Macaca mulatta: one gene and its partner. The main gene of each other region encodes a partner of the protein of the gene in region 2 in a complex. Links are inferred from orthologs where the notes say so. Each region holds a gene or a part of one and is shown on either strand. Other genes may lie near its edges.

Region 1 (15,003 bases), on a different chromosome or scaffold from region 2:
CTCCTGGCCTCAAGTGATCCTTCTGCCTCAGCCTCCTAAGTAGCTGGGACTATAGGCATGCACCACCACACCCGGCCAGTTTACTAGTTTCTAACAAAGCTAAACGTCGTCTTAACATATAATCTAAGAGTCACACTCCTAGGTTGAAAACTTATGCCCACGCAAAAACCTGCACACAGATGTTTACTGCGGTTTTCTTCATAATTGTCAACAGCTGGATCCAGATATCTCTCAGTAGGTCTATCAGTTCCCTAAGCCTGCCATAACAAAGGGCCACAAACTGGGTGGCTTCAAACCACAAAAACGTCTTCTCTCACAGTTCTGGAGGCTAGAAGTCTAAAATCAGTGTGACAGCAGAGTCGTGCTCCCTTTGAGACTCTGAGTAGAATCCTTTCATGCCTCTTCCTGGCTTCTTGTGGTGCCCAGCAATCCTTAGTGTTCCCTGGCTTGTAGCTCATCACTCCAGTCTCCGCCTCCATTGTCATGTGTTGTTCCCCATGTGTGTCCTGTCTTCAGATGGCATTTTCCTCCTTCTTTAGGGCACCAGCCACATTGGATTACAGCCCACTTGAATGACCTCATTTTAATTGATTATACTGCAAAAGCCCTTTTCCAAATAAGGTCACATACACAGATACCAAGGGTGAAAGCTTCAACATATCTTTCTGGAGGATACAAGTCAATCCTTAAGAATAGGCTAATGGGACGGGCGTGGTGGCTCACGCCTGTAATCCCAGCACTTTGGGAGGCTGAGATGGATGGATCACCTGAGGTAAGGAGTTCAAGACCAGCCTGGCCAACATGGCAAAACCTCATCTCTACTAAAAATACAAAAATTAGCCAGGCATGGTGGCATGCACCTATAATCCCAGCTACTCGTTTGAACCTGGGAGACGGAGGTTGCAGTGAGCTGAGATCATGCCACTGCACTCCAGCCTGAGCAACAGAGTGAGACTGTCTGGAAAAAAAAAGAATAGGTTAATGGATAAACATACTGTGGCAGATTCATACCAGGGGATATTTTTGTTTGTTTGTTTTGTTTTTTTGTTTGTTTTTGAGATGGAGTCTCACTCTGTTGCCCAGGCTGGAGTGCAGTGGCGCAATCTCGGCTCACTGCAAGCTCCGCCTCCCAGGTTCACGCCATTCTCCTGCCTTAGCCTCCAGAGTAGTTGGGACTACAGGCACCCGCCACCACGCCCGGCTAATTTTTTGTAGTTTTAGTAGAGATGGGGTTTCACCGTGTTAGCCAGGATGGTCTCGATCTCCTGACCTCGTGATCCACCTGCCTCAGCCTCCCAAAGTGCTAGGATTATAGGCGTGAGCCACCGTGCCTGGCCACAAGGGAATATTTTTAAGCAATCGAAAGAAATAAGTTATCAAATCATAAAAAGTCATGAAGGAAACTTAAATCACATTGCTCAATAAAACAATCCAGTCAGAAAAGGCTACATATGGGCTGGGTGCAGTGGCTCACACTTTATTACCCAGCACTTTGGGAGGCCAGGGCAAGAGGATTGCTTGAGCCTGGGAGTTCAAGACCAGCCTGGGTAACATGGCAAAACCCCATTTCTATAAAAAATACAAAAATTAGCTGGGCATGGTGGCACATGCCTGTAGTCCCAGCTACTACGGAGGCTGAGGTGGGAGAATCACTTGAACCCAGGAGGTCGAGGCTGCAGTGAGCCGTGATTGCACTACTGCACTCCAGCCTAGGTGACAGAGTGAGACTCTGTCAAAAAAAAAAAAAAAAAAAGAAAGAAGGAAGGAAGGAAGGAAGGAAGGAAGGAAGGAAGGAAGGAAGGAAGGAAGGAAAACGTATTGTATGATGCAACTATATGACTTTCTAGAAAAGGTAAAACTATAGTGTAAAAGGTCTGTGGTTGCCAAAGGTTGAGGTGAGGGGAGGGAGTGAGGGATGAAGAGTTGAAGAAAAGATTTTTAGGACAGTAAAACTTTTATTTATATACATGACATTACGCATGTGTCGAAACCTACAGAACTATGTACAACATAAAGAATAAACCCCAATGTAAACTATGGACTTTAGTTAATAATGATGTATTAATACTGGCTCATCAATTGCAACAAATGTACCACTCTAATACAAAATGTTAATAATAGGGTAAATTGTGTGGAGGAGGGAGAGGGAATGTTTGAACTCTAATATCTGGTCAATTTTTCTGTAAACCAAAAACTGTCCTAAAAAATTAAGTCTATTGGCCAGGCACAGTGGCTCACACATGTAATCCCAGCACTTTGGGAGGCCATGGCAGGAGGATCACTTGAGGCCAGGAGTTTGAGCCCAGCCTGGGCAACATAAATGAGACCCCGTCTCTACAAACACATTTTTAAAAATTAAGTCTATAATTTGAAAAAAGATTCATTTCAGTATATAAGGCTCAAGTATCATTTCTTTCAGGAAATCTTTCCCGCTCTCCCACCATAGTCCCAAGATGGGTTCGGTGCTCTTCTCCCAAGCTGCCATAATACCCTGCACATATTTTTATTTCTATGGTTGCACCTACCACATTGTATTTTAACATTTCTCTGTATTGCTGTCAATTCACAGCTGTGGTTTGCTGACCGTTGGCCTAGAATGCAGAGATGGTGAAATAATCTAATCCATGCAACCCTTAAACAGGCACCTAGGAATGCCTGACAAAGGGCACTTCTGTTCCCTCAATGCACTGTTGATGTCATTTGTGGTACAATCATTATTAGCCCTCTGGTCTGTTAGGCTATTTTCTGGATGATAGCATAAGGCACAGTTATGTGACATTAAAGGTTACTTAGCCTGAGTAGTCTTTAGATTACTGGCCTTGGGTCTGCCAAAGACCATCCTCATGGGGAAGTTTTTGCACTAGGAAACCTCTCCAGGATTCAAATCCAATGGTTTTGACTCAAATCATGCTGTTAACATCACACAACACATTCTCAATCTTGTTCAACTTAAAAGGTGGTACAGTACAGGGGTCACTGGCACACACGCCTACATGACAGATAACATAAGTGACGAAAACAGACTCAGGTCGAGAAGGGTTCCTGACACTTGGGAAAGTCCATACCCAGTCTAGAGTAGGCAGCCACTCCTTGGCTTCAGCCAATTGTTGCCACACAGAAATGTGGACACGGTGTTACCAGACAAGGTGTAGAGGCAGATTTCTGTTCACACAGAAACTTTTCAGTTTAAAAAAGTGTTGGCAACTAAGTCAAACTGCTTAGAAATACTGGAGATGGCATATTGGGAAGGTAAGGAATCATCCAATTGAATTGTGGTATTTACGATGGGGGAGAAATAGCAGCTAAAGGATAAGGGCAGCTTTTGGAGAACGCTGATTGTCTCAAGGAACTTACATATTGTCATCTAGGTCTGAGTGCACACTAAATAATTTAAGCAAGAACAGGACACGATTAGAATGGTATTTTTAAAAAGATCACTTGGCAGTTGACGGGCGAGGCTGAGAGTAAAACAGTGAATTAGAAGTCTGTCATTTAGCTAAGTAAGGGTAAAGGCAAGACGGCAAAGGCCTATTTACTTGGTTCTTTCTCCTACCCGACTGCAAACTCCAAGACAGCAGGGCCCCATCTGCCTTGTTCATTGCTGTGTCTCCAGCACTAAGCAAAAAGTCTGTTCCACATTTGTTGAAAGAATAAATGAACAGGAGAGAGGGAAGGCGAGAGGCATTTTGAAGGACTGAGTTTAAAAATCAACTACCTTGAAGCCGGGCAAGGTGGCTCATGCCTGTAACTGTAATCCCAGCACTTCGAGAGGCTGAGGCGGGTGGATCACCTGAGGTCAGGAGTTTGAGACCAGCCTTGCCAATACGGCGAAGCCCCGTGTCTACTAAAAATACAAAAATGAACCGGGAGTGGTGGCATGCCCCTGTTATCCCAGCAACTCAGGAGGCTGAGGCAGGAGAATTGCTTGAACCTGGGAGGCACAGACTGCAGTGAGCCAAGACTGTGACACTACCTGGGCGACAGAGAGAGACTCTGTCTCAAAAACAGAAAACAAAACAAAACAAAATCAACTACCTTGAGAGGAGTAGAATGTCGGTAATTGTGAGAGCAGTCATGAGGGGAGGGGAGCCATGGAAGCCTGTTTCCTTCCCTGAACTTCCTCAAGGAGGGGGCATCTTAAAGACGGAATCATGTACACAGATTTTTGTGGGGTTTTTTTGGAGACAGGGTCTCACTCTGTCGCCCAGGTTGGAGTGCAGTGTCATGACCATAGCTCACTGCAGCCTACAACTCCTGGCCTCAAGCAATCCTCTCACCTCAGCTTCCAAAAGTGCTGAGACTATAGGCGCGAGCCACCGCGCTCGGCCCTACACAGGTTTTTGAAAAAGACCTTTGTGCGTTGGATTCCTGGCACTTCAAGTGGCCTCTTCAGTCTACCAAAGAAGGAAAAAGTAAGTACTCCGAAGGATTGAAAGGAGGATTAAGGGAACATTGAGGGATGAGCAATTTCTGTTCTTCCCTAGCTCCACTATTCCCAAAGCACACAGCAAGAGGACTGACATCGGCTTCCGACACCGTGAGGATTACTTTCTGGGTGGAGGGGGGACTGCTAAACCTCGAGTCTCCGTACCTGGCCCTGGCGCGTTTCCAGTCTGAGCAGAAAAGGAAACCCCCACCCACACCTCACTCCTAGTCCTCCGGGTGCCTTTACAGCCCGTATCTTGACCACCCCCAGCTCCGCCCTCTCTCCTCCCACCTCCTTTTCCCGCTCCCCCGCCCCATTTCCTTCTTCTCCGCCCACCTCCTCCTGGGTCCCTCCCCCGGCCATGCGCCCTGCCCCGGCCGCGGCAACCCTGCCCTTCGTTCTTCTTCCTCCTCCCTTCCGTCAGCGCCCCTCCCGTGGGGCCGCGGCAACCCCGTGCCTCGCTTGCCCAATGAGAACACGGCGTGGGGCGGGGCGCGGCCAGGACCGGAGCGGAAGTGGCGACCGGAGCGGAAGTGGAGCTGCCGCCACTGCCGCCGCCGATTCCGGAGCCGGGGTAGTCGCCGCTGCTGCAGCCACTGCAGGCACCGCTTCCGCTGCCTGAGGAGTGGGCTTGGGAAGGAAGAGGTCATCTCGCTTGGAGCTTTGCTCGGAAGGGTCTTTGTTCCCTGCAGCCCTCCCACGGTGAGTGCGGCGCGGGGTCCGACCGGGGCCCCCGGGGGCCCAAATTCGAAGCCCCTCTTTGGCAGCTGCGACGACGGCGGCCCAGCGGGTGGGCCCCGGGGGATAGCGGTGCGCTGCCTCTTCCGCTTCGCGCGGCCGCCGGCGGCAAGGCCAGGCCTCGCAGCGGCCCCTCCCTGTTTCCGGGGCCGGGCCCTGTACCTCTTGGAGAGGCCCGGGCCTCCCTCGCCGCCTAAGGTCCTGCCGGCCGGGCGGGGTGCAACTCTGTGCTGCACCGTGAGGGACAGCGGAGCCGAGGGTCCCGGACTCTCCCTCACTATCTGATTCGGTCCCTCACGCGACCCCTCCCTGCGTCTTGGTCGGCAAGAACCGTCCTCTTCAGCCCAGTCACCTCTGCTCCGTGCTTTCCGGTTTCCAGAAATTAAAATTTAATCAAACGCGGGTGAGTTTTCTAGCCCCAGTCCCCCTGTTTGACTCCTCCTGGATGAGTAAGGGGTTTAACCTTGGGAGACAGCAGTGGGGGAACCCCCTCCCATTTTGCAGTAAAACCATTTCATCATCCTTAACTGGTTATGGAGCCTGGCAGGACCCAAGATTCCCTAGGAAGGGAATTGGGTTTGAATCAAGAAAATGTGTTTGTTGGAGCCGGTTACTGAGTCAGGCCGGATCCCCAGGAAAAAATATCGGGATGAGAATCGGAATATTTTCCCACAGTATTTACCGTCATTTAATGCCAAATTCTTTTGTGTCTTTACCCCAAATTCCCCCTATTGTGTGTTAGCACGTTTTTCGGTCTGAAATTTGCCCGGTGGCTTCCTGGTCGGGGGGTGGGGAGCGGAGGGAAGAAGAGGTGGGAAGGTGAGTGCATCTTTGCCGCAAATGGAGAACTCCCATATAATGAGGTTTCCAGAGGTGGCAGCCTTGGTAAGCAATTTGCCAGCCTTTCTGTGAAATGCATGTCTCTTGTCGTTGCCTTCATTGCATTTCTCTTTGGTAAGGCTAGATAGCATCAGGTCCTGATTTTGCTTACCCTGTGTGGGAGATGGAATTTGGCAAGATGATGCTATGAACATAAAATCAGCCTGCCACGGAAGCCAAAACAGAAAGGTGAAGCACTTATAAGAATATGAAAATTGTCTGCATTTCTCATTCTGTCAGTTCATATGAAGCCAGACACAGATGCAATTTATGGAGCTGGACGCTGCAGCTTTTGCATTTTCATGTTGGAAATTTATATAAGTATTTGTTCTTGGTGAATTTCTTCTTGACTGCTTCCAGGGTACCCTATTTCTTACTTAGGGATATCTCATTTGTTTGAGCCCTCATTTTTCTTGGATTCCTGTCCTTGGCAACACGAAGTGTATGAGTGTACAACCTGTCAATCTTATTGGACCTAAGTTAGAAATTTAAGTGTGGCTTTCAAAATGGAAGGCAAATAATCCTGTAGCAACTGCAGAATTATTTTCCTAGCCTGCCCCTCCAATGAGATAAGAAACCATTCACCTATCTTGCAGATGAAGTCTTTATGAGAAATGAGGTGATTTGGCCTAGACTCTACACCTAGTTTTTTTCAAATTGAATATCCTCATTCATCAGTAGCAAATATGGATTGCCAGCCCCTGGAGTATGACTCCTACCCTATAATCTTTTGTACATTTCCCGTCTTGCAGTGCTTGCTATATTGAAGCCATTTTAGAATTGGAGCACTATAGATCAGGGAGGCAGCCTGTATAAAACCAGGCTGAGCAAATTCCCACGATGCTGGTTCTCTAGGCAGAGTCTCCAGAGATTTGGGCCTCTACAAAAAGTGCATTTTGCCCATTTGGCTGTGGATAGAGAAGCAGAAAGAGCACTGGACTTGGAGTCAGGTAAATTTGGTTGAAATCTTGCCTGCAATATTTTCTAGCTTTCTGAATCTTCAGCATGTTAGTCTGTGGTTCTTAGTTTTCTTATCTCCAGGGTTATCATTAAGCCTTTTTTATAAACTGTAAATTGTTAAATATAAGCTTTTGGTTTTTTAATTAGAGTTCACTATTAATGGCTTTTTCTCTCCAGTTAACATCTGATGACACTAAACCCTGCTTTGTACACAAGTTGCTTTCAAAAAATGGTATATTATTATGGGACTTTATTTTGCATGTAGGCAAATCTAGTCTTTCTGAATCATTTTCTCATCTATATAGCGCAAATGGTAATGCAGCTTTGGATAATTTTTGTTGTGACAAGCTCAATGAAAATAAGCATCTGGGATATAGTTGGGGTTCAATAGATGTTTAACCATCTGCATGAATATACACGTGTATAGATTAGACATAGCGTATGTGCTATTCATGGACATCTATATAGAATCCATCCATTTGTGATTTATCTGATGAGGTGGTATCAATTAGTCTATAATAATAATTACCACTTACAGTACTTACTGTGTGCTAAGCTTTCTTTTAAGCACTTTAAGCATATTAGCTCAGTCTTCATAACAACCAATGAAAGGTAAGACTATTAGCCCCATTTTACAGATGAGGAAACTAAGGCACTGAGAAGAATAATTTTCCCGAGGTCTCACACACAGCACAAGGTAAGTGCCAGAACCAGGAATGAAACTAGATGATCTGGTTGTAAGGAATGATATTATAGATTTCTACGTGTGGTAGAGACAGCACATGTATATGTTTTGTGTGAACACCATTTAGACCTTAATTTTTCTTCACACCAATCCTAATAAACGTTTGAATGGGAATACTAGCTATTTTTGAAGATAGATACAGGACGATTTATTGTGGAGCATATACCCATTCTGGCCTGTAGGGATGATATTGTTAGCATGCATCAGGAAGCAAGCTTGTGAACAATCCAGTTTTTCTAGTACTTGCTTCATACTAGGGAGAAAGTCATCAGTTACTTTGGCATAGAATGTTAGGTTCTTCATCTAAGAGAATTTGATTATGACCATTAATTTTTGTTTATCATACTACTTTATCAGTAGATGTTCAGATTTTTCTTATTTTTGTTGGCAAGGAGGAAATGAGGAAATATATCTACGTAAATAGAGAAAAACTTCTAAATTAAAACATCCTGTTGTGCTACCTGCTCTTTCAGTGCCAACAAACTGAGTTTTCCTTTAAATGCTGGTACCTTAGAGAATGAACTAAAATTTCCTTGTAAAGGTACTTTTAAGTTCCTTGTTTCTACATTTTTCTAGGGAAAGATGACAATTCACTAGTTTAAGGGGCAAGAAATTATGGTTATATAATAGCAACCTTTAAGCTTTAGAATCCTTTTGATCTCTATGTGAATATGATCTTAGCAGTCATCTGTATGTCATGATGGAGAAACTAACGAGCTGGATTCTGAGGGAATTTTTCTGAGGGGAATACTTGAGGAAACAGACTAAAAGTGCTTTCTGTGTCATGATAAGTGTGCTGAAGGCCAATCATATTACTGCTTTCTCTACTAAAAGATTTTCTAATAGAGGTATGGTTATATGTATCTAATACTCATAATGAGATGTAAATGATCAATGGCCTCAAGTCATTCCTAGCAGATTGTAGGTTAGTTGACTTCTTTTTTTTTTTTTAATTCTGGCCAGTTCTTTATTATCTAAGTTTTTCCCTTACTGGTTATTTTATTGTTTTCCCTAAGAGAACCAACAGGAAGTTATTTCCAAATGGCCTTGATCAGGACAAGAAGATTGAAGGCTACAATAAAGTAGATATGAGTCCTATTATTATTATTTGCCCTCAGCTAAGAGCTTTCCTTTAAAATTTGACATTTTGATGAGTCTTTGGCGTGTTTTATGCTGTTTTTAACTCCTTGATTTTGTTTTTGTTTTTAAAGGTAGATATGTTAGCTTAATAGGCCAGTTTTAAAATTTCACTGTAACAACTTTGTATAGTTCTTTTAAAAATTGGCAATTCCCTTTTCCTTAAATGAGTTTTGGAGATCATAATTAATCTTTAGGATATAGGGTTACATAAAGGCAAGAACATTAATTTTAAAATTAATGTTGGTTTAGATCCCAGACCTGCCATATATAGCTGTGTGACCCTGAATGAGTTAACTCTTTGCGTCTATAAAAGGGGACGATGTCACCTGCCTCATAGGATACTTAGGATCAAATGCGTTTCTAGGAATCCCTGAGTGCTTTGCAGGCCATAAATGATGGATGGATATTTTTATTATTTACTAAACGAGTTAGCTGGTTTGGGTTTTTGTATAGTGAACTTTTTATATAGCGAACTGATTGGACTTCTGAATGGAGGAGATGAACAGAAAGTAATCCAAAGGCCTGTTGAAAGTCAGTTTGAATTGGCTGGGCTCAGTGGCTCATGCCTGTAATCCCAGCACTTTGGGAGGCCGAGGCAGGCGGATCACGAGGTCAGGAGATCAAGACCATCCTGGCTAACAAAAAATTAGCCGGGCCTGGTGGCAGGCGCCTGTAGTCCCAGCTACTTGGGAGGCTGAGGCAGGGGAATGGTGTGAACCTGGGAGATGAAGCTTGCAGTGAGCCGAGATCGCGCCACTGCCCTCCAGCCTGGGCAACAGAGCGAGACTCCATCTCAGGAAAAAAAAAAAAGTCAGTGTGAATCTATAAATACAATGATTGGTAGCTGAAAAGTATTAGTCAAAATGTATAGTGTTGCCTCCTGATTTAGAGCTGGCTGGCTGTTTTCAAAAAGTAATCTAAGACTATAAAAACAGTCTATATTTTAAAGGTCAGATGTGCACTACCTTCCTCTGTCCACATAGGAGATAATTGCTTTTTCACTTTTTAAGAATGCATCAGGTGATCAAGTAGTCACTCAGTGTGCTAGGCCTTGTGCTCCACATTGGGGGTCCAAAGATACAAGTCTGGATTCCTACCTTAAGCTCACAATCCAGTGTGGGAACCAGCAGAGACACTTGCATTGCAGTAAACTGTGATAAGGGCCATTTTAGAAATAGGCATAGGGAAATTGTTGTGTGCCTTTCTTTTAAAAGTCTTTCAGAAGCAGAGTACGTGTAAAATAAATGAGGTACATGGTAAGTTTCCCTTCACTGGCTGACCATTTGTTTTTAAGTTTTGTGTGGAATGTACTGTGGTTGCCATTTATTCGAGTGCTTAATGTTTAGCATCATAAACAGGTTTACTCCTTACAGGAACCCTAGTGAGAAGATTTGCCTATCTTTTTTTTTGCAGAGTCTCGCTCTGTTGCCCAGGCTGGAGTGCAGTGGCATGATCTCAGCTCACTGCAGCCTCTGTCTTCAGGCTGCCTCAGTCTCCCAAGTAGCTGGGATTACAGGCGCCCACCACTATACCCATCTAATTTTTTAATATTTTTAGTGAGACGGGGTTTCACCATGTTGGCCAGGCTGATCTTGAACTCCTGACCTCAAGTGATTGCCCTCCTCGGCCTCCTAAAGTGCTAGGATTACAGGCATGAGCCACCACGCCCAGCCGAGATTTGCCTGTATTATGGATGAGAAAACAGATTCACAGAGGTCACATAGCCTATGGACTTGGTGTGCGGTACTGGTAACTCAGACTGATTGGCTTCGATATGTCAGTGGGCCCCAAACTGTAGAAATCTATTCATGAGGTCAACCAATTGGACTGTCTTTATGGATCAGAATTAACATAGTGTCTTTTGGTTTGATTACTTAAAGTCAAGAAGTCAATTTATTGTCATATCTACCATTAAGTCACATGTGTAACCTTGCGCCTGTTACTTAACACCCTCAGTAAGTTTAATCATGGCTAATTGGACATAATTAGCAGTGAAATTCAACAACTGATATGAAAGAGGGGAAGGGATTTTGAAATAATAGAAATGCAGTTTCTCTCCAAATTCAGTGTTCACTGGACATAGTGCTAAGGACTTTGTATTACAGATATGCTGTGTTTTGTTTCCTAACAAAGAACCTGCAAATGTTTGAATGGAATTAAATTTATTACAGGACTCTAAATTTTATGTGTAGAATGGCACACAGACATTTTTATAGTGGGTGTTTTTTAGTGAGTAGTTTTCTCTGAGAGCCAGGAGTGCTTAACTTTTTCTGGGTAACACCCACTAACCACCTGGTCCCACTGACTTTCTCAGTCCCTCCTGCAGTAGCTTGGCATCTGATTTTTCTTCAGCAGAGTGACTCCAGAACTAAAACTTCTACTTTACAGTGCTGTGGATGCTCTATCTAGAATGGTACATCTGTGAATGCTGTTCAGAATATGTGATCAGTTCCTTACCCCATTGAAACATTTGAGCCTAGATTTTTCAGATTCTCCTGTCAGTTTTCTTCCTTGTTCTCATTTCTTTATCTGCTTTGGCCTTTGATTTTTATTTCATCTAGAAAAACATACATGCACTTTATTAATAACATCTCTTTTTAAGTCATGACCTAGCTACCTTTAAACCTCTTTCCTCTAATTCTGTCTGGTTGCTTTTCTAAGGAGAGGCATTGTAACCCTTAAACATGTGCTGTTTTTTTTTTTTTAATTGATGCATAATAGATATACATGTGCTCTTTTCTTGTGTTTCTACCACTAGAGTTTAAGCTCGCTGAGGGGAGGACTACACTGCTTTCTTTTAAATTCCTCTCAGTAATCCAAAGAGTTCTTAGAAATTTGGTAGTTTTTCATTTTGTAGTTATTTCAGCACACATTGGATTATATGTGTTACATTTTTGTGAGGTAGCTTAAGAAGAAAGAATAAGAATGGCTATGAGCCTTTATTCTAACCAACACTATACGGGCATTTTATGTTCATTATCTTATTTGATAGCTATTAATGTCTCCTTTAAACACTGAGAAAACAGATTCAGATAAGTTACAATGTGGAAATGTAGAAAAATCACCTACTTTCTCTTTAGAAGCTCAGATGTGTATGTAAGGCTTGCTAGAAGCAGACCCCACCATATATTTTGTATGTATAGAGCTTGGGTAATTCCTGGCATATAATAATGGAGTCCTCATTTGAAATTTCCAGCAAATTATTAAACTCAAAGCTTATTATTTTAGAATTGAGCATGTTCACTTTTAAAGGCTACAGCTGTCATTTTCAACTCTATCTTTGCAGTGCCTTTATTAAAAAAAATGGATTAGCAATAGGTAATCTTCTTTTTCTTTTCTTTTTTGATTCTTATCCTAGGATATCTGCTCTAGCCACTGGGAAATAACTTCTCAGTATTTTGACCCTGACTAGAAAGATATCACTTGGGGAAGGAATTGAGATAGAGGGGCTAGGCTGTTTCCTAGATCCTCTATTTTCAGCATTTATTATCTGATTTAGGATTTTCTTCAAAGAAAGAGTGCCTTTAGAATTATGTTTCATAGCTGTTTATCTGCACTCTTGATTTCTCTTTTTAAACAGAAAAACACTTTTTTTCTTAAAAAAATAAATAGTACCAAAATTTTTAAAAAGTAATACATACTTGAAGAAAATTCAGAAAGATAAGAAAATGAGGATATAATAATGTTATTACCCAGAGAGACAGCCAGTGTTAACCATTTGGTGTTAACCTTTCTTTTTGGGTTTGTTTGCTGTTGAGGGGATATTTTACAGAAATAAAATATTATTGTGCAACTTCCTCCCCCCAGCCTCCATTGCTCTTAAATAAGTCTTTTTATGACGTTAAAGCTCTTCTTTTGATGGCCACGTAATCTTGTACCATCTATCTCTCCCCCCACCCACCTTTTTTTTGAGATGGAGTTTCACTCTTGTCGCCCAGGCTGGAGTGCAGTGACGCAATCTTGGCTCACTGCAACCTCCACCTCCCGGGTTCAAGTGTTTCTTCTGCCTCAGCCTCCCGAGTAGCTGGGATTACAGTACTGCATCACCCCGGCCAATTTTTTTGTATTTTTAGTAGAGATGGGGTTTCACCACGTTGGCCAGGCTGGTCTGAAACTCCTGACTTCAGGTGATCTGCCTGCCTTGGCCTCCCAAAGTGCTGGGATTACATGTGAGCCAGTGCACCTGGCCAGTCTCCTTATTTTTTAAACCGTTCCCATATTGTTGGATATTTAGATTTGCTTCCATTTTTTCACTAAGCAATCTCTGCGTTTATCAACAAATGCTTCCCAGTCCTGACTTGCTGCATCCAGTGGCTTGGAACAGATTGACAGCCATCATCATCATGTAGGTGTGCTGGAGAGCTCCTGTTCTCAAGCATGTCAGTCTCTTCCTGAAATGTGCCCAGCACAAGGAAAATCTCTTGACTTACTGCAGGGTTGGGCCCTTTGTGGCCTCTAATGAGTTTGCCTGCCCCAGTATCTTGACGCTTCTGTAGTGGTGCCAGGCCTGATGATGAGACCATAGTCTTTCAAAAACTTTTTAGGAGACAAATAAAGAGTATCTTGCTGACTTTTTTTTTTTTTTTAGTGGGAACCTCATTCAAAGTCTTGGAACAACAGTAGGTCTTGATTAAAAACCATCATGGCATATCACTAGAAAATTTAATTAGAAACTAACGGATAAACTTCAGCTACAGTTAACATGTGTGTTCATTTTAACATAACATACTATCTATACAAGATTAATCTAGATTTTTGCTTTTACTTCTCACAAAATTATATATTTGAAAAGAAAATTCAAGCTTATGGTTTTGTGGACTACTACAGTGTAATAGTCGTGGAGAAGAATAATAGTACTTCAGTTTGATTTTGCACTATGCATTTTTCAAGGAAAATTTCCACATTTAGTATTCTTTAATTCCCTGCCCCTCATCTTCACAGCAACTCTCCTGAGGTAGATGCCATCTTTATTTTATGGATTGGAATGAGATTTAACATGCTTACATGGCTGTATAGTGGCATATTGCACTGTGTCACACAGTCCTGCTGCCTTCTGACTGTACTGCATATAGGTACTCTGTGTTCCTTGTGCTCTCCCAATAATGATTTGTAGAAAAACTTGATATTCATTTGCATATGGGTTTTGTGCTTAGTACAGTTGTAAGCATTAAATGTGAAACAAATATGAAGCTTTCCTTTGAGGGCACACAAGTGAAGCTGTAAATGTTACCAGTACTCATCTGTATCATAGAATGACATAAAGAAGCCCTAGACCGTGTAATAGGCTATAAGCATATTCGGAGTCATAGGCAAGGTAAGGGCAGTCAGGGAAGGGTTTGTAGCCCTAGATGAATGGATGCAGTTTGGATAGGCAAGCAGTAAATAGGAGAGCACGCTAGATGACAAAAACAGTTTCAGACATGTTTGAGCATGGTGTTTATAGAGCATGTGGTGCTGGCTAGCCTGAGAGAAAGGTACATGTTGGAGAATAGTGGATGAGAAAGCCAAACAAGTAAAGAGGAGACAATTTATCAGGAATTTGAAAGCCAGGTAGAGCTTAAATTTGATGGAGTAGCCCAAAGGGTGTCGTTGGAAGTTACTGGGTAAGGACAAAGGCAAGACTAGAGGTAATTTAGGAAGAGTAATTTTTTGTTTGTTTTGAAACAGGGTCTCTGTCACCCAGGCTGGAGTGCAGTGGTGCAATCATGGCTCACTGCATCCCTGGCCTCCTAGCCTCAAGCGATCCTCCCATCTCAGCCTCCCAAGTAGCTGGGACCATAGGCATGAGCCACAACACCTGGCTAATACTTAATTTTTTATGGAGACAAGGTCCTACTATGTTGGCTGGTTTTGAACTCCTGGTCTCAAGTGATGCTCCATCTTTGGCCTCTTAAAGCACTGGGATTATAGATGTGATCCGCCATGCCTAACTGGAAGAGTAATTTTGGAATTACTCTTTGAATTTCAGAGGGCACAGAAATCCAAGGAACTAAGTACAAATGTAATGAAGATTTAATATGCTTGTGAGGCTAATAGGTGCTTTGAATTATTTGAGAAAAGGGAGAACTCTCCAACTCTGAAGTTTGATGCTTACATTTCAGGATCAGTTAGTTCA
Region 2 (14,993 bases):
TTGCCTGAGGTCAGGAGTTCGAGACCAGCCTAGTCTAACATAGTGAAACCCTGTCTCTACTAAAAGTACAAAATTAGCTGGGTGTGGTGGCGCACACCTGTAATCCCAGCTACTCAGGAGGCTGAGGCAGGATAATTGCTTGAGCCTGGGAGGCGGAGGTTGCAGTGAGCCAAGTTTGCACCACCGCACTCCAGCCTGGGCAACAAGAGTGAAATTCCGTCTCAAAAAAAAAAAAAAAAAAGAACTTCTTGAAAGTCAGGGAGGAAAGGGGCAGGTCCAAGGTCACTCAAGCCTCCTTAGGCGCAGGAGAGGCAAAGGGGATGGCCATGGTTTGCCTGGTAGAGAGGGAGCCTCTGTGTTTTGTTTTGTTTTGTTTTTAGGACGGAGTCTCAGTCTGTCATCCAGGCTGGAGTGCAGTGGTGGGATCTCAGCTCACTGCCACCTCCGTCTCCCGGATTCAAACAATTCTCGTGCCTCAGCCTCCTGAGTAGCTGGGATTACAGGTGTGTGCCGCCATGTTTGGCTAATTTTTTTTGGTATTTTTAGTAAAGACGGGGTTTCACCATGTTGGCCAGGCTGGTCTCAAACTCCTGACCTCAAGTGATCTGCCCACCTTGGCCTCCCAAAGTGCTGGGATTACAGACGTGAGCCACCATGCCTGGTCGAGGGTGTCTCTTTATAGAGAGTGGCAGTCACTGCCTTCATCGTACGGTCCTTTTGGTGTCTGCCATGCCCAGATTCCCAGGATGGCAACCTGGACTCAGCGAGAACGTGTGCTCTTCTCAGGGCTCTGCAGAAGACAATGAACCAGCAGATCCCAAAGGAAGACAGCCAGGACTGAGGAATGGTATCCGTGGAGACAGAGCACCCTCATTCTAACCTTAGCTGTCCATCAAATCCACAAGGTGGGCTGGGTGCGGTAGCTCACGGCTGTAATCCCACCACTTCGGGAGGCCAAGGCGGGAGGATTGCTTGAGCCCAGGAGTTTGAGACTAGCCTGGGCAGCATAGCAAGACCCCATCTCTAAAAAAAATTTTTTTAATTAGCCGGGGGTGGCGGCATGCGCCTGTAGTCCTAGCTACTAGGGAGGCAGAGGTCGGAGGATCTCTTCAGCCCAGGAGTTTGAGGCTACAGTGAGCTATGATCACGCCACTGCACTCCAGCCTGGGCAACAGAGCAAAATCCTGTCTTGAAGGAAAAAAAAATCCACTGGATGGAAGAGTTTACACTGGTGAGGGTCCTGCTAGGCACAGGCCAAGTCTGCTGCCTCCAGGAAGCTGACCCAGGAGGTCAAGACATTCAGGATCTTAGACCCCCTGCCAGTCTCTCCCTCCCTCTCTCCTCTCCATCCACAAGCCAGGGCTGTGTACCAGTCCCCTCTAGCACACCTTTTTCTCCCTTGCTCAGATGAGAAGGCTGAGGCCCCAAGTCTTAGCCTTTTTTTTTTTTGAGATGGAGCCTCATTCTGCCGCCCAGGCTGGAGTGCCGTGGCATGATCTTGGCTCACTGCAACCTCCATGTCCCAGGTTCAAGCGATTCTAATGCCTCAGCCTCCTGAGTAGCTGGGATTATAGACATATGCCACGATGCCCAGCTCATTTTTCTATTTTTAGTAGAGACGGGGTTTCACCATGTTGGCCTGGTTGGTTTCGAACTCCTGACCTCAAGTGCCCCGCCCACCTTGGCCTCCCAAAGTGCTGGGATGACAGGCGTGAGCCACCGCGCCTGGCTCCCAAGGTTTAGTCTTTCAGAAAACCATGCCTGCTTCCTCCAGCGGTTTTTCCTGCATTCTGGGGGTGAAACGTGGGTGGGAGCCAGTCTGACTCTGCAGCCTCTTTCCCCTTGAGTGCATTGGTCATTGGGCCCTCTCTCCTCCCTGGTCTCCAAGCTCCTGTGTTTGCTTTGGGGTGGGGGTGGGGGACTGCCCCCTCCCCACCAGGGACAACAGGCCTCATTACCCAAATAAGATACACAGCCCAGCTCCCTGGGCCACTGGCTGGCCCCCTCCCTCTGGGAATTAGATAAACACCATCTGTTTAGTAGGAAGACATGGGGGTGGGGGGTGGGGGGAGACTCTGCTACCTCCTGGGCCAGCTTCTTCTGTGGCACCTGGTGGGGGACTCCTGAGTCTGTGGTCCTTGTCAGTATCCCAGCAACCTCCCAGCCCATTCTGATCACCCCGTGTTGCACCCTCGACCTGCCTGCCTTCCCTCCCCCTTCCTTGCTAAGGTTATGATGTTCATGGCCCAGGCAGGGTTAGAGGAGATGTGACAGTGACAATATCCAAGCCCAGGAGGAAGAAAAGGAGTTGGGGCTATGAGAGACTTGGCCTGGAGCAAGAGCCTAAAGCAGGGTTCAAGAACTTTTTACGACTGGCTGGATATGGCTCACACCTGTAATCCCAGCACTTTGGAAGGCCGAGGCAGGAGGACTGTAGGAGGCCAGGAGTTTGAGATCAGCCTGGGCAACATAGTGAGAGCCTGTTTCTACAGTTTAAAAGTTAGCTGGGGTGGCCGGGCGCGGTGGCTCAAGCCTGTAATCCCAGCACTTTGGGAGGCCGAGATGGGTGGATCACGAGGTCAGGAGATCGAGACCATCCTGGCTAACACCGTGAAACCCCGTCTCTACTAAAAAAATACAAAAAACTAGCCGGGCGAGGTGGCGGGCGCCTGTAGTCCCAGCTACTCGGGAGGCTGAGGCAGGAGAATGGTGTAAACCTGGGAGGCGGAGCTTGCAGCGAGCTGAGATCCGGCCACTGCACTCCAGCCCGGGCTACAGAGCGAGACTCCGCCTCAAAAAAAAAAAAAAAAAAAAGTTAGCTGGGGCCAGGTGCAGTGGCTCATGCCTATAATCCCCCCAGCACTTTGGGAGGCCGAGGCAGGTGGGTCACCTGAGGTCAGGAGTTCGAGATCAGCCTAGCCAACGTGGTGAAACTCCATCTCTACTAAAAATACAAAAAATCAGCCAGGCATAGTGGTGGCAGGCAGTTGTAATCCCAGCTACTCGGGAGGCTGAGGCAAGAAGAATTGCTTGAACCCAGGAGGTGGAGGTTGCAGTGAGCCAAGATGGTGCCATTGAACTCCAACCTGGGCAACAGAGTGAGTCTCCATCTCAAAAATAAATAAATAAATAAATAAAAAGTTAGCCAGGCATGGTGGTGCACACCTCTAGTCCCAGCTACTCAGGAGGCTACAGTGGGAAGATCTCTTGAGCCCAGGAGTTCAAGGTTGAAGTGAGCTGTAATCACGCCACTGCACTCCAGCCTGGGCAACAGAGTGAGAACCCGACTCATAAAAAAACAAACAACTTCTTATGACCAATAGAAAAGTATGACGGGGAGCAGTGGCTCAGGTCTGTAATCTCAGCACTTTTGGAGGCTGAGGGGAGAGGATTGCTTGAACCCAGGAGTTCAGGACCAGCTGGGCAACACAGTGAGACCTCATCTCTATTTAAAACTTTTTTTTTTTTTTTTTTTTTTTTTTTTTTTTTGAGATGGAGTCTCGCTCTGTCGCCCAGGCTGGAATGCAGTGGCGCGATCTCGGCTCACTGCAAGCTCCGCCTCCCGGGTTCACGCCATTCTCCTGCCTCAGCCTCCCGAGTAGCTGGGACTACAGGCGCCCACAACCGCGCCCGGCTAATTTTTTGTATTTTTAGTAGAGACGGGGTTTCACCGTGGTCTCGATCTCCTGACCTTGTGATCCGCCCGCCTCGGCCTCCCAAAGTGCTGGGATTACAGGCGTGAGCCACCGCGCCCGGCCTATTTAAAACTATTAAAAGGGGCAGGTGCGGTGGCACTTTGGGAGGCCGAGGAGGGCGAATCACCTGAGGTGAGGAGTTCAAGACCAGCCTGGCCAACATGGAGAAACCCTGTCTCTACTAAAAATACAAAAATTAGCCGGGCATGGTGGCACGTGCCTATAATCCCAGCTACTCGGAAGGCTGAGGCAGGAGAACCACCTGAACCCGGGAGGCAGAGGTTGCAGTGAGCTGAGATCATGCCACTGCACTCCAGCCTGGGCGTCACAGTGAAACTCTGTCTCAACAACAAACAAACAGCAACAACAGCAAAAAAGACTATTAAAAGAAGAAAAGGGCTGGGCCCGGTGGCTCATGCCTGTAATCCCAGCACTTTGGGAGGCCTAGATGGGTGGATCACAAGGTCAGGAGTTCAAGACCAGCCTGGCCAACATGGTGAAACCCCATCTCTACCAAAAAACAAACAAATAAACAAACAAACAAAACTAGCCAGGCGTGGTGGCGGGCGCCTGTAATCCCAGCTGCTCGGGAGGCTGAGGCAGAGAATTGCTTGAACCCATGGGGTGGAGGTTGCAGTGAGCTCCGATAGCACCACTGCACTCCAGCCTGGGCGACAGAGCGAGACTCTGTCTTGAAAAAAAAAAAAAGAAAGAAAGAAAAAGGTAGGACGCAATGGCTCATACCTGTAATCCCAGCACTTTGGGAGGCCGAGGTGGGCAGATCACTTGAGGTCAGGAGTTCGAGACCAGCCTGGCCAACATGATGAAACCTTGTCTCTACTGAAAATAAAAAAATTAGCTGGGGATGGTGGCACATTCCTGTAATCTACTCTGGAGGCTGAGGCATGAGAACTGCTTGAACTCAGGAGACGGAGGTTGTGGTGAGCTGAGATCATGCCACTGCACTCCAGCCTGGGCAACAGAGTGAGACTCCGTCTCCAAAAATAAATAAATAAATAAACAAGAAGAAGGAGAAGACAACTCAGACTCAGAGAGAGAGTGGAGAAAACTCCAGGTTCAGCTGTCCACCGCCCACCTTTCAGGAATTCCTTTTAGACTGCCACCTAACCAGGTCCTGTTTGCTCCCCTGCACCCTCGAGGCCCCTCTTCCTAAAGCTAGCCAGCTCTGACCATGAACAAGTGCTTCCTTGAAGCTTCTAGAAACTGCCTCCCTGGGGCTTCCACCCATGGAGCCACGGAACACGGCCTCCTCGATCCTCCCTCTGCCCACGCTACCCTGTGGAGGGTGAAACCCTGCCAGGCCTCTGCAGGCTGGTCTCTGGGTCAGGCTGGTCCCTGGTTCAGGCGGGTCCCTGGGTCAAGCTGGTCATTCTTCCCACCACCTTCTGAACTCTCTGCCTTACTGTCTCTTCCCATACAGTCCGTCCCCTGGGACACTCAATCTCTGTAATCTGCTCCCCTCCAGGGAACCCCGGAAACTGGGGGTCTTTGAAGATGAAAACACTGTCCCAGTTCAAGCCTTAGGGCTTTTCCTCTACGAAATGCGGAAATCTAGAAGCTCTCCTGGTACTGAGCCAACCCTCCATCTCCCTCCATCTCCCTCCATCTCCCTCCATCTCCCTCCATCTCCCTCCCTTCCTCCATTTCGTTCCCTCCATCTCGTTCCCTCCATCTTCCTCCCTCCTCTATCTCCCTCCCTCCTTCCATCTCCCTCCCTCCCTTCCTTCCTCCCTCCCTCCCTCCATCTCCCTCCCTTCCTCCATCTCCCCCCTCCTCCATCTCCCTCCCTCCTCTATCTCCCTCCCTCCTTTCCTTCCTTCCTCCCTCCCTCCATCTCCTTCCATCTCCCTCCATCTCCTTCCCTCCTCCATCTCCCTTCCTCCCTCCACCTCCCTCCCTCCCTTCCTTCCCTCCTTCCTTCCTTCCTTCCTTCCTTCCTCCCTCCCTTCCGACAAGGTCTCACTCTATCTCTATGAGTGGAGTGCAGTGGCACGATCATGTCTCACTGGAGCCTCAACCTCCTGGGCTGAAGTGATCCTCCCACCTCAGCCTCCCCAGTAGCTGGGAATAGGAATGCGCCATCACACCTGGCTGATCAAAAAAAATTTTTTTGGCCAGGCGTGGTGGCTCACGCCTGTAATCTCAGCACTTTGGGAGGGCAAGGAAGGCGGATCACCTGAGGTCAGGAGTTTGAGACCAGCCTGGCCAACTTGGTGAAATCTCTACTAAAAATGCAAAAAATTAGCTGGATGTGGTGGGCGCGTGTAATCCCAGCTACTCAGGAGGCTGAGGCAGGAGATTCTCTTGAACCCGGAAGGCAGAGGTTGCAGTGAGCTGAGATCGCACCACTGCATTCCAGCCTGGGCAACAAGAGCAAGACTCCTCTCAAAAAAAAAAAAAAAAAAAAAAAATTTTTTTTTTTTTTTTTTTTTTTTTTGGTGGAGACGGGTTCTCAGTATGTTGCCCAGGCTGGTCTCCAACTCCTGGGCTCAAGAAATCCTTGGATGAGAACCTTGGCCTCCTAAAGTGCTGGGCTTACAGGCAGGAGCCACTGTGCCCAGCCAGAGAGATTTACTGTTAATATATTAATATTTGGGTATTTGGGAAGAAAACACAGACTTATCTACCCCAGCTATCCCTGACTGGGGTTAAATCAGCCTTGAGTCAGCCTCCTAGGGGAGCAGTTTTTTGGGCTGCGCTCTGTCCCTTACCTTGCCAGCTCCCCAGAACCTCTCCTCTTTGGTCACACATGGTCAGGAGTGGGGGTTGGAAGTGAGGCCCCCCCCAAGTAGACTGATGTGTAGTATATAATGAGAAGTCAAAGTTGGGGGTGGGTGGGGAATGGGAGACCCGCAGAAGGAGGAGTGCCGGCATTCGGTGTACCAGGACCTCAGATGCCCTGTCCCAGGCAGTCGCGTGACATTTGGGGAGGGAGGGAGAAGGGACGGGAATTTGAACTTTCCACACGGGTCCGGCGCCCTGGCCGATCGGGTTGCAACATGACCTGGGCCCGGGGCCAGAGCTTGTGGGCCAAGGTTACTCCGCCTCCAGCCAATGGGGTCGCAGCTAGGCGGCCGCGGTTGGGGGCAGGCAATACTCCCCCGACAGTCCCCACCCCAGCTCCCGCTCCCCCGCAGGGCGGCAGGTGCCGATCCGTAGCCAGCGGTTCTCAGAAGGGGAGGAGGCGCCGCGGAGGAAGAGGAATATTTGCACAGAGAAAAGATCAAGGCCGGCCGATCCCCCTTTCTCCCCTACGGGTTTTCGGTTGATAATTTATACTGGCCCCTCCGCTCCGGGGAACTTTGCTCCAGGGCACTGGGCCAGGCCTCGGGTTCGCGCCCTCCTCTGGGACGCGGGGCGTGGAGCGGAAGCGGGGCGCGGCCTGTGCGCTCTCTGAGGCGCTAAGCGGGGGTCCCAGGCAGCGACGGGCGCTCAGCCTAGTGTGGCGACGCGGGTAGGCGAACCCAGGCCTCCCGGGCACCGGCGTAACCTCAGCGAGCTGCGCCTCTTGGACATTTCTGGGACATGCTCCTCCCGCCACCCTTGACATAGCAGATCAAGAAGAGGTGTCTCAGCAATTGCGGGGAGTTGGACGAGACAGTGGGCCAGTTTCAGTCCACTTTGGTTATGAACTGAGACAATCAGGGTAGCTGGGAGTATCTCAGGGTCCCGGAATAGGGCGGGCCTGGGCCGGGGCTGCTGGGGAGAAGGCCGAGGCCTGCAGGGGGTCGGGTGGAGTGGCTCCAGAGTGGAGAGTGGGGATGGGCGCGGGAGGCCTAGGGACCTGGGACTCCTGGCATTTTTGGAGGGACGGAGGGGCCGGGACCAGAGAAAGGGGACCAGCGGTCCAGGTAGAGGCGGGGCGCAGGCGGTCTGCGCCTCGGGGAAGAGGGGATGGGGGAGGAATGGGAATCAGAAAAGCGCGGGTCCGTCGGGGGCCAGCGGGCTGGGTGGCGATAGGAGGACCCCGGGGCTGGGAGAAAGGGGATGTTCAGGGCGTGACCAGAGCCTCCGGGAGCCGCAGGACCGGGTTCGGGTGGGGTATTGAGGGCCCCAGCGCGCAGTCCTGCCCCAGACCCCCCAATCCCCATCTGGAGGCCGAGGCCATCGGGGCCCCGAGCCACCCTCACCTGTAGGCCAGGCTCAAGCACTCGAAGAGGCGTGTGAGTGTGGGGTCGATACTGCGAGGCCCGAAGTCGGAGGGCCCCACGGACCCCTCCTGGTCGCGCCGCCGGGGCAGCGAGTCGCTGTGCGGCGACGACACCATGAAGTGACCGCTGTGGATGACCTGAGAGCGGAGCAAGCCGCCCGCGCTGCGCCGGAGACTCGGGTCCTCCGAGTCCGTGTCCGAGTCCGAGTCTGGGCTGGGACCGACCCGCGGGACCTGCAAGCCCGCGGCCAGACCTGCCAGCGCCCCGGCCATGGCTGTCGCCGCCGCCGCCACCGCCTGGTGCTGGCTCCGTGCAGCGCAGGGAACAGCTCGTGGCCAGCCCAGCCTCATTAACATAGCCCAGCCCCCGCCCCATAGGCCGCTCGGATGGGAGGGGCCTGGGACGGGGCGGGTCTTGTATTAGCATAGTCCTTGCGCCAGGTGAGAACCCGGTGCCCTAGAGCTCCGGCGGGTCGGCCCCATCTCCCTTCCCGTCTCTCCTTGGAATTCTAACAGAGCCTCCCCTAGTTTGCTCCAAAGGGATCTTAAGAAGGGTCAGGCCGGGCGCCAGGGCCCCATGCCTGTAATCCTAGCACTTTAGGAGGCCAAAGTGGGAGGATGGCTTGAGGTCAGAAGTTCGAGACCAGGCCGGGCGCGGTGGCTCAAGCCTGTAATCCCAGCACTTTGGGAGGCCGAGACGGGCGGATCACGAGGTCAGGAGATCGAGACCATCCTGGCTAACACGGTGAAAACCCGTCTCTACTGAAAATACGAAAAACTAGCCGGGCGAGGTGGCGGGCGCCTGTAGTCCCAGCTACTCGGGAGGCTGAGGCAGGAGAATGGCGTGAACCCGGGAGGCGGAGCTTGCAGTGAGCTGCGATCCGGTCACTGCCTTGCTGCCTGGGCGACAGAGCGAGACTCTGTCTCAAAAAAAAAAAAAAACAACAAAAGAAGTTCGAGACCAGCCTGAGCAATATGGTAAGACCCCTATCTCTACCAAAAAAAATGCCAAAATTATCTGGGCATAGTGGAGAGAGCCTGTAATACCAGCTACTGGGGAGGCTAAGGTGGGAGGATCCCTTGATCCCAGGAGTTCGACAACATGGCAAAACCCTGTCTCTACAAAACATACAAAAATTATGGTGCAAAAAACAGGTGCAGGCATGGTGGCATGCACCTGTAGTCCCAGCTACTCGGAAGGCTGAAGTGGGAGGATCGCTTGAGACCAAGAGGTTGAGGCTGCAGTGAGCGGAGATCGCGCCACTGCACTCCAGCCTGGATGACAGAGAATCTGTTTCAACAATGAAAAGGTCCCCTATCACAACTGAGCCTGAAAGCGCCTCAGGACCTGGGGTTTGTGCTTTCAGGGGCACCCTCTTGTGAGGCCAGAGATCACCATCCCCCCTCACTTAACTCCTGCCCTCCACCTCCGCCGCCCGACCCCATATTAGCTCCTCTGGGTCCTCCATACAGCTGGAAGCCCCCACCTCTCAGGGGCCTGATGTGGTAAACACCAGGCAACGCCCCTGAAGGGCCTGGCCCGAAGGAGGTTGTTAATACCTCTAGTTAACATGGTGGCCTGACGCGGTGGCTCTCACCTGCAATCCCAGCACTTTGGGAGGCCAAGGTGGGTGGATCACTTGAGGCCAGGAGTTCGAGACCAGCCTAGCCAACATGGCAAAACCCCGTCTCTGCAAAAAATACAAAAATTAGCCGGATGTGGTGGTTCGTGCTTGGCTTGTAATCCCAGCTACTGGTGGAAGAATCACATGAGCCCGAGAGGTGGAGGTTGCAGATCGCACCCTACTGCACTCTAGCCTGGGCGACAGAGTGAGACCCTATTTCAAAAAATAAAATAGGCTGGGTGCGGTGGCTCACGTCTGTAATCCCAGCACTTTGGGAGGCCAAGGTGGGTGGATCACGAGGTCAGGAGATCGAGACCATCCTGGCTAACACGGTGAAACCCCGTCTTTACTAAAAATACAAAAAATTAGCGGGGCGTGGTGGTGGGCGCCTGTAATCCCAGCTACTTGGGAGGCTGAGGCAGGAGAATGGTGTGAACCCGGGAGGCGGATCTTGCAGTGAGCCGAGATCCCGCCACTGCACTCCAGCCTGGGCTACAGAGCGAGACTCAGTCTCAAAAAAATAAAAATAAAAATAAATAAATAAATAAATAAAATACTTAAGAAAATATATATATTTTTTAAAAATTGTGATCATTACTTCAGCTGCACAGAGACGCCCAAGGGGAGCCTCAAGGGACTGTTACTGGTGGGGGTGTGTGGCTCACTGGAAGGTGGACATCCCCCAGGCTGGCATCTACCCAGGAGCTCTGATCCCTTTCTCTCACTGACACTGAAGTCCAGCTTTTGTTCCTGCTTCTTTGTATTTTTATTTATTTATATATTTTACTTATTTATTTATTTTGAGATGGAGGCTCGCTCTGTCGCCCAGGCTGGAGTGCAATGGCATGTTCTCGGCTCACTGCAACCTCTGCCTCCCGGGTTCAAGCGATTCTCCTGCCTCAGCCTCCTGAGTAGTTGGGATTACAAGTGCGCGCCACCACGCCCAGCTAATTTTTTTTTTTTTTCTTTTGAGATGGAGTCTCGTTCTGTCACCCAGGCTGGAATGCAGCGGCACATCTCCGCTCACAGCAAGCTGCACCTCGTGGGTTCCCACCATTCTCCTTCCTCAGCCTCCCGAGTAGCTGGGACTACAGGAGCTCGCCACCACGCCTGGCTAATTTTTTTGCATTTTTAGTAGAGACAGGGTTTCACCGTGTTAGCCAGGATGGTCTCAATCTCCTGACCTCTTGATCCACCTGCCTCGGCCTCCCAATGCCCAGCTAATTTTTGTATTTTTAGTAGAGACGAGGTTTCGCCATGCTGGCCAGGGTGGTCTCAAACTCCTGACCTTAAAGTGATTCACCCACCTCGGACTCTCAAAGTGCTGGGATTACAGGCATGCGCCACCATGCCTGGCCTATTTATATATTTTTAGAGACAGGGCCTCACTCTGTCACCCAGGCTGGAGTGCAGAGGCACAGTCATAGCTCACTGCAGCCTCAAACTCCTTGGCCAAAGCAATCCTCCCACCTCAGCCTCCCCAGTAGCTGGGACTACAGGCTCATGCCAGCACACCTGGCTAACTTTTTTTTGTAGAGATGAAATTTGTTGCCCAACCTGGTCTCGAATTCTTGGCTTCAAGTAATCCTCCTGCTTCAGCCTCCCAAAGTTTTGGGATTACAAGGGTGAGCCACTGTACATGGCCTGTTTCTGCTTCTGAAGGCTCTTTTCTCACCTTAAGGACAGAAACCAGACTGAGGCATTCACACCGGACACCTCATTGGAGGCTTTAACGGCCTCAAAGATGGGTTCCGAGGCACAGGAGAGTAAAAACACGCCCAAGCATCTCTGAGGGGCAGCAGTAAAGCCCAGTCTAGTAGATTTCCAGACTTCTCCCCAAGGATGTCCCTACGGGGTGGGGGCAAGAGAGAGTTTCAGGCAGATGCTGAGCTCCGCTGGCTTTCCGACAGGTATCTTATGCGTGGTCATGTTAGGCAGAGGGGAGGAGGTGGTCACCCACGTGTTGCAGCCTTGGAAAAGGTTGACACATAGCACTTTTCTTCCAGCCCACGGGAGGATCACACAACACCCAGGATCACAATGGCAGTGCCCTGAGGGCCCAAGCCACCGGCTGTGGGAGGAAAGTGATTATCCGAGGCTGCTCACAGGCCAGCCCCTCCACCCGCCTCCCTTGGCCGGGTATCTTCTGTCTCTGCCAAATGGTCATATCACATTCCCAGGAGCCCCAGCCGTTCTGCTCCTTCCTCCCTGCTGCCCTCTGTAGGATGTGCATTCTCTTTGCCCATCCCTGCCAGGTTAAGAAAGGGGGTTCTGCGGCTGGGCGCGGTGGCTCAAGCCTGTAATCCCAGCACTTTGGGAGGCCGAGTCGGGAGGATCACGAGGTCAGGAGATCGAGAACATCCTGGCTAACACGGTGAAACCCCGTCTCTACTAAAAATACAAAAAACTAGCCGGGCGAGGTGGCGGGCGCCTGTAGTCCCAGCTACTCGGGAGGCTGAGGCAGGAGAATGGCGTAAACCCGGGGGGTAGAGCTTGCAGTGAGCTGAGATCCGGCCACTGAACTCCAGCCTGGGCGACAGAGCGAGACTCCGTCTCAAAAAAAAAAAAAAAAGAAAGGGGGTTCTGATGCTCACCCCAGTCTCCCTCCTTTGGAGGGGCTCTGCGCTGCTTCAGAGAGCCATCTCCAAGTGGCCCCCACTTTGTTTTTGAGCCAGTCTCACTCTGTCACCCAGGCTGGAGTGAAGTGGCTTGATCTCGGCTCACAGCAACCTCCGCCTCCTGGGTTCAAGCGATTCTCTTGCCTCAGACTCCCAAGTAGCTGAGATTACAGGCTTGGACCACCACGCCCGACTAATTTTTGTATTTTTAGTGGAGATGGGGTTTCCCCATGTTGGCCAGGCTGGTCTCGATTTCCTGACCTCAAGTGATCCACCTGCCTCAGCCTCCGAAAGTGCTGGGATTATAGGCGTGAGCCACCGTGGCCAGCTGTCAGGTGGCGGTTAACCGTCTTTTGAGGCCCTTGGTACACAGGCTGACAGGATCATCGCTTATCCCTGTGTGCCTGTCTGGCTCCTCCCTCACCCCCAACAGGCCACTGAGGCAAGACTGTGTCCTGACATCTCTGAATCCCCACCCCAGGTACCCAGAGACTTGGCGGATGCTTGAAGAAAGGGGCATGAGGCTAAGAGGAGCGGGTGGGTGCTGTGGAGGGGGGGTGTTGGATAGGTTGGAGGCCCTCTCCTCTCGATTGGGGCCTCCTGGCTCCGGGCACCCTGGCTCAGGTGAAGATCCAAATTGATCCTTGCTCTGCTGCTAATTCCATGAATACCCCTGGGCCAATCTCTCTCTCTCTGTCTTACTGGGGATCTGTCTCACTACCTGTAAAATGGGGAGGCCAAACTCAGTGTTTTCTTTCTTTCTTCTTTTTGCTGTTGTAAAGATGAGGTCTCACTATATTGCCCAGGCTGGTCTCGAGCACCTGGGCTCAAGCGATCCTCCCACCTCGGCCTCCCAAAGTGCTGAGACTACAGGCGCGAGCCGCCGCGACTGGCCTGAATTCAGTGATTTGTTGGGGATCTTGCAATCTTGGCTCCAAGTCTCTGCTGGCTGTGTCTCCAGATCACACCATCTTACTCTCCCCATGCTCTGAAAACATCAGAATTGTCTCCTGTGGTTTCAGAGATGTTCCTCTGAGCTGGATCTGAGTGGGTGGGAGGATTGTGAGTGAATTCTCTCCTTCACCCAACATCCCTCCTTCCCCAGCCATGAATTTCCCCCTCAACAGGCATCTGCATCTCATTTCTGCCCTCCTCCAGGGCTTAAGAACGCCTCTAGGCAGGCGCGGTGGCTCATGCCTGTAATCCCAGCACTTTGGGAGGCCGAGGCGGGTAGATCACAACGTCAGGAAATCGAGACCATCCTGGCTAACACGGTGAAACCCCATCTCTACTAAAAATACAAAAAATTAGCCAGGCGTGGTGGCACACACCTGTAATCCCAGCTACTTGGGAAGCTGAGGCAGGAGAATGGCGTGAACCCGGGAGGAGGAGCTTGCAGTGAGCCAAGATCGCGCCACTGCACTCCAGCCTGGGAGACAGAGCGAGACTCTGTCTCAAAAAACAAAACAAAACAAAACAAAAAATAAATAAATAAAATAACACCTCTAGAAACCTAACTGCTGAAAAGACAAACTCTGCCTGCACAATGCAAAACATCCAAACACCAGAGTGTCCAATAAATGCAAGGACGTCCACAGATTCTGATTTCTCCTATGTTTAGAGACAGGGTCTCGCTCTGTCACCCAGCCTGGAGTGCAGTGGCGCGATCATAGCTCACTGCAGCCTCAAACTCCTGGGCCAAAGTGATCCTCCCACTTCAGCCTCCCAAAGTGTTGGGATTGAAAGTATGAGCCACTTGTAATGGGACCACAGGCATGCACCTCCTGTTCAGGGCACCATTGCCCAGATGATAGCACAGCCATGTACGTGTAACCTGGCTCACCCTCTTTCTGCTTCTCCTAGCCTCTGTTACTATAATCAGCAGTTTACAGCCTCTGTACAAACAAGTCTTGTTCATGGTCCATGGAGATGCAAGACAAGGTCTTAACTGTGGTATGAATACCTGGCTGTCCCCAGCCATCCCACCTGACATTACATCCTCCCTGCCTTCCGGTCTTGGTCCTCAGGACTCTTCACCCAGACTGTCCTTCCTCGTTGGGAAAGCCCACCTGTCCTTGAAGTCCCACCTCTGACATCTTCCCCAAGTTCTCCAGGTTATTTCCGAGTTCCCACCCTTGTTCTTTTTTTTTTTTTTTTTTCTTTCTTTCTTTCTTTCTATTTTTTTTTTTTTTTTTGAGACCAAGTCTCGCTCTGTCATCCAGGCTGGAGTGCAGTGGCGCCATCTCGGCTCACTGCAACCTCCGCCTCCCAGATTCAAGTGATTCTCGTGCCTCAGCCTCCTGAGTAGCTGGGATTACAGGCATGCGTCATCACGCCTGGCTAATTTTTATATTTTTGGTAGAGATGGGGTTTCACCATGTTGGTCAGGCTGATCTCGAACGTCTAACTTCATGATCCACCCGCCTCGGCCTCCCAAAGTGCTGGGATTACAGGAGTGAGGCACCGTGCCCAGCCCTACCACCGTTGTTCTAATACAAGTCTAATTTCATTCGGCTTTGCGTTCACAGTGAGTGATGTACATGGTTTTCCTCCCCACTAGATGGCAAATTCCTTGAGAGCAAGAATCACTGCTGGGCGTGTTGGCTCATGCCAGTAATCCCAGCACTTTGGGACACCAAGGGGAGGATAACTTGAGCCCAGGGGTTCGAGACCAGCCTGGGCAGCATAGCAAGACTCTGTCTCCACAAAAACTAAAAAATTAGCTGTTTGTGGGCCTGTAGTTTCAGCTACTTGGGAGGCTGAGGTGAGAGGATCACTTGAGCCCAAGAGTTGGAGGCTGCAGTGAGTTATAAACATGCCACTGAACTCCAGTCTGGGTGACAGAGTGAGAACCTGTCTCTTAAGAAAATTAAAAGGCACTTTT

Evidence for each region.
Region 1: the proteins of MLXIPL (region 2) and YWHAB are in contact, whole or in part, in a crystal structure (PDB 6YGJ), measured with the Homo sapiens proteins. The link is inferred for Macaca mulatta from reciprocal best matches to the Homo sapiens genes MLXIPL and YWHAB. Residues at the interface, in NP_116569.1 of Homo sapiens: Asp118, Ile120, Arg121, Asn124, Ala125, Trp127, Arg128, Ala129, Trp130, Tyr131, Ile132, Tyr134; in NP_003395.1 of Homo sapiens: Gly55, Arg58, Ser59, Trp61, Arg62, Ser65, Ser66, Gln69, Lys70, Arg129, Val178, Tyr181, Glu182, Asn185, Leu218, Gln221, Leu222, Asp225, Asn226, Leu229, Trp230.

What each region holds. Positions count from the first base shown.
Region 1 is NC_133415.1:97,733,008-97,748,010, forward strand, and holds the start of YWHAB (14-3-3 protein beta/alpha), read left to right. Parts: upstream 1-5,050; 5' UTR 5,051-5,128; exon of another isoform or gene 5,129-5,567; intron 5,568-5,931; exon of another isoform or gene 5,932-6,004; coding exon of another isoform or gene 6,005-6,049; intron 6,050-6,898; exon of another isoform or gene 6,899-6,993; intron 6,994-15,003. UniProt on the Homo sapiens protein: Adapter protein implicated in the regulation of a large spectrum of both general and specialized signaling pathways. Binds to a large number of partners, usually by recognition of a phosphoserine or phosphothreonine motif.
Region 2 is NC_133408.1:51,105,565-51,120,557, forward strand, and holds the start of MLXIPL (carbohydrate-responsive element-binding protein), read right to left. Parts: upstream 8,252-14,993; 5' UTR 8,224-8,251; coding exon 7,847-8,223; intron 1-7,846. UniProt on the Homo sapiens protein: Binds DNA as a heterodimer with MLX/TCFL4 and activates transcription. Binds to the canonical E box sequence 5'-CACGTG-3'. Plays a role in transcriptional activation of glycolytic target genes. Involved in glucose-responsive gene regulation.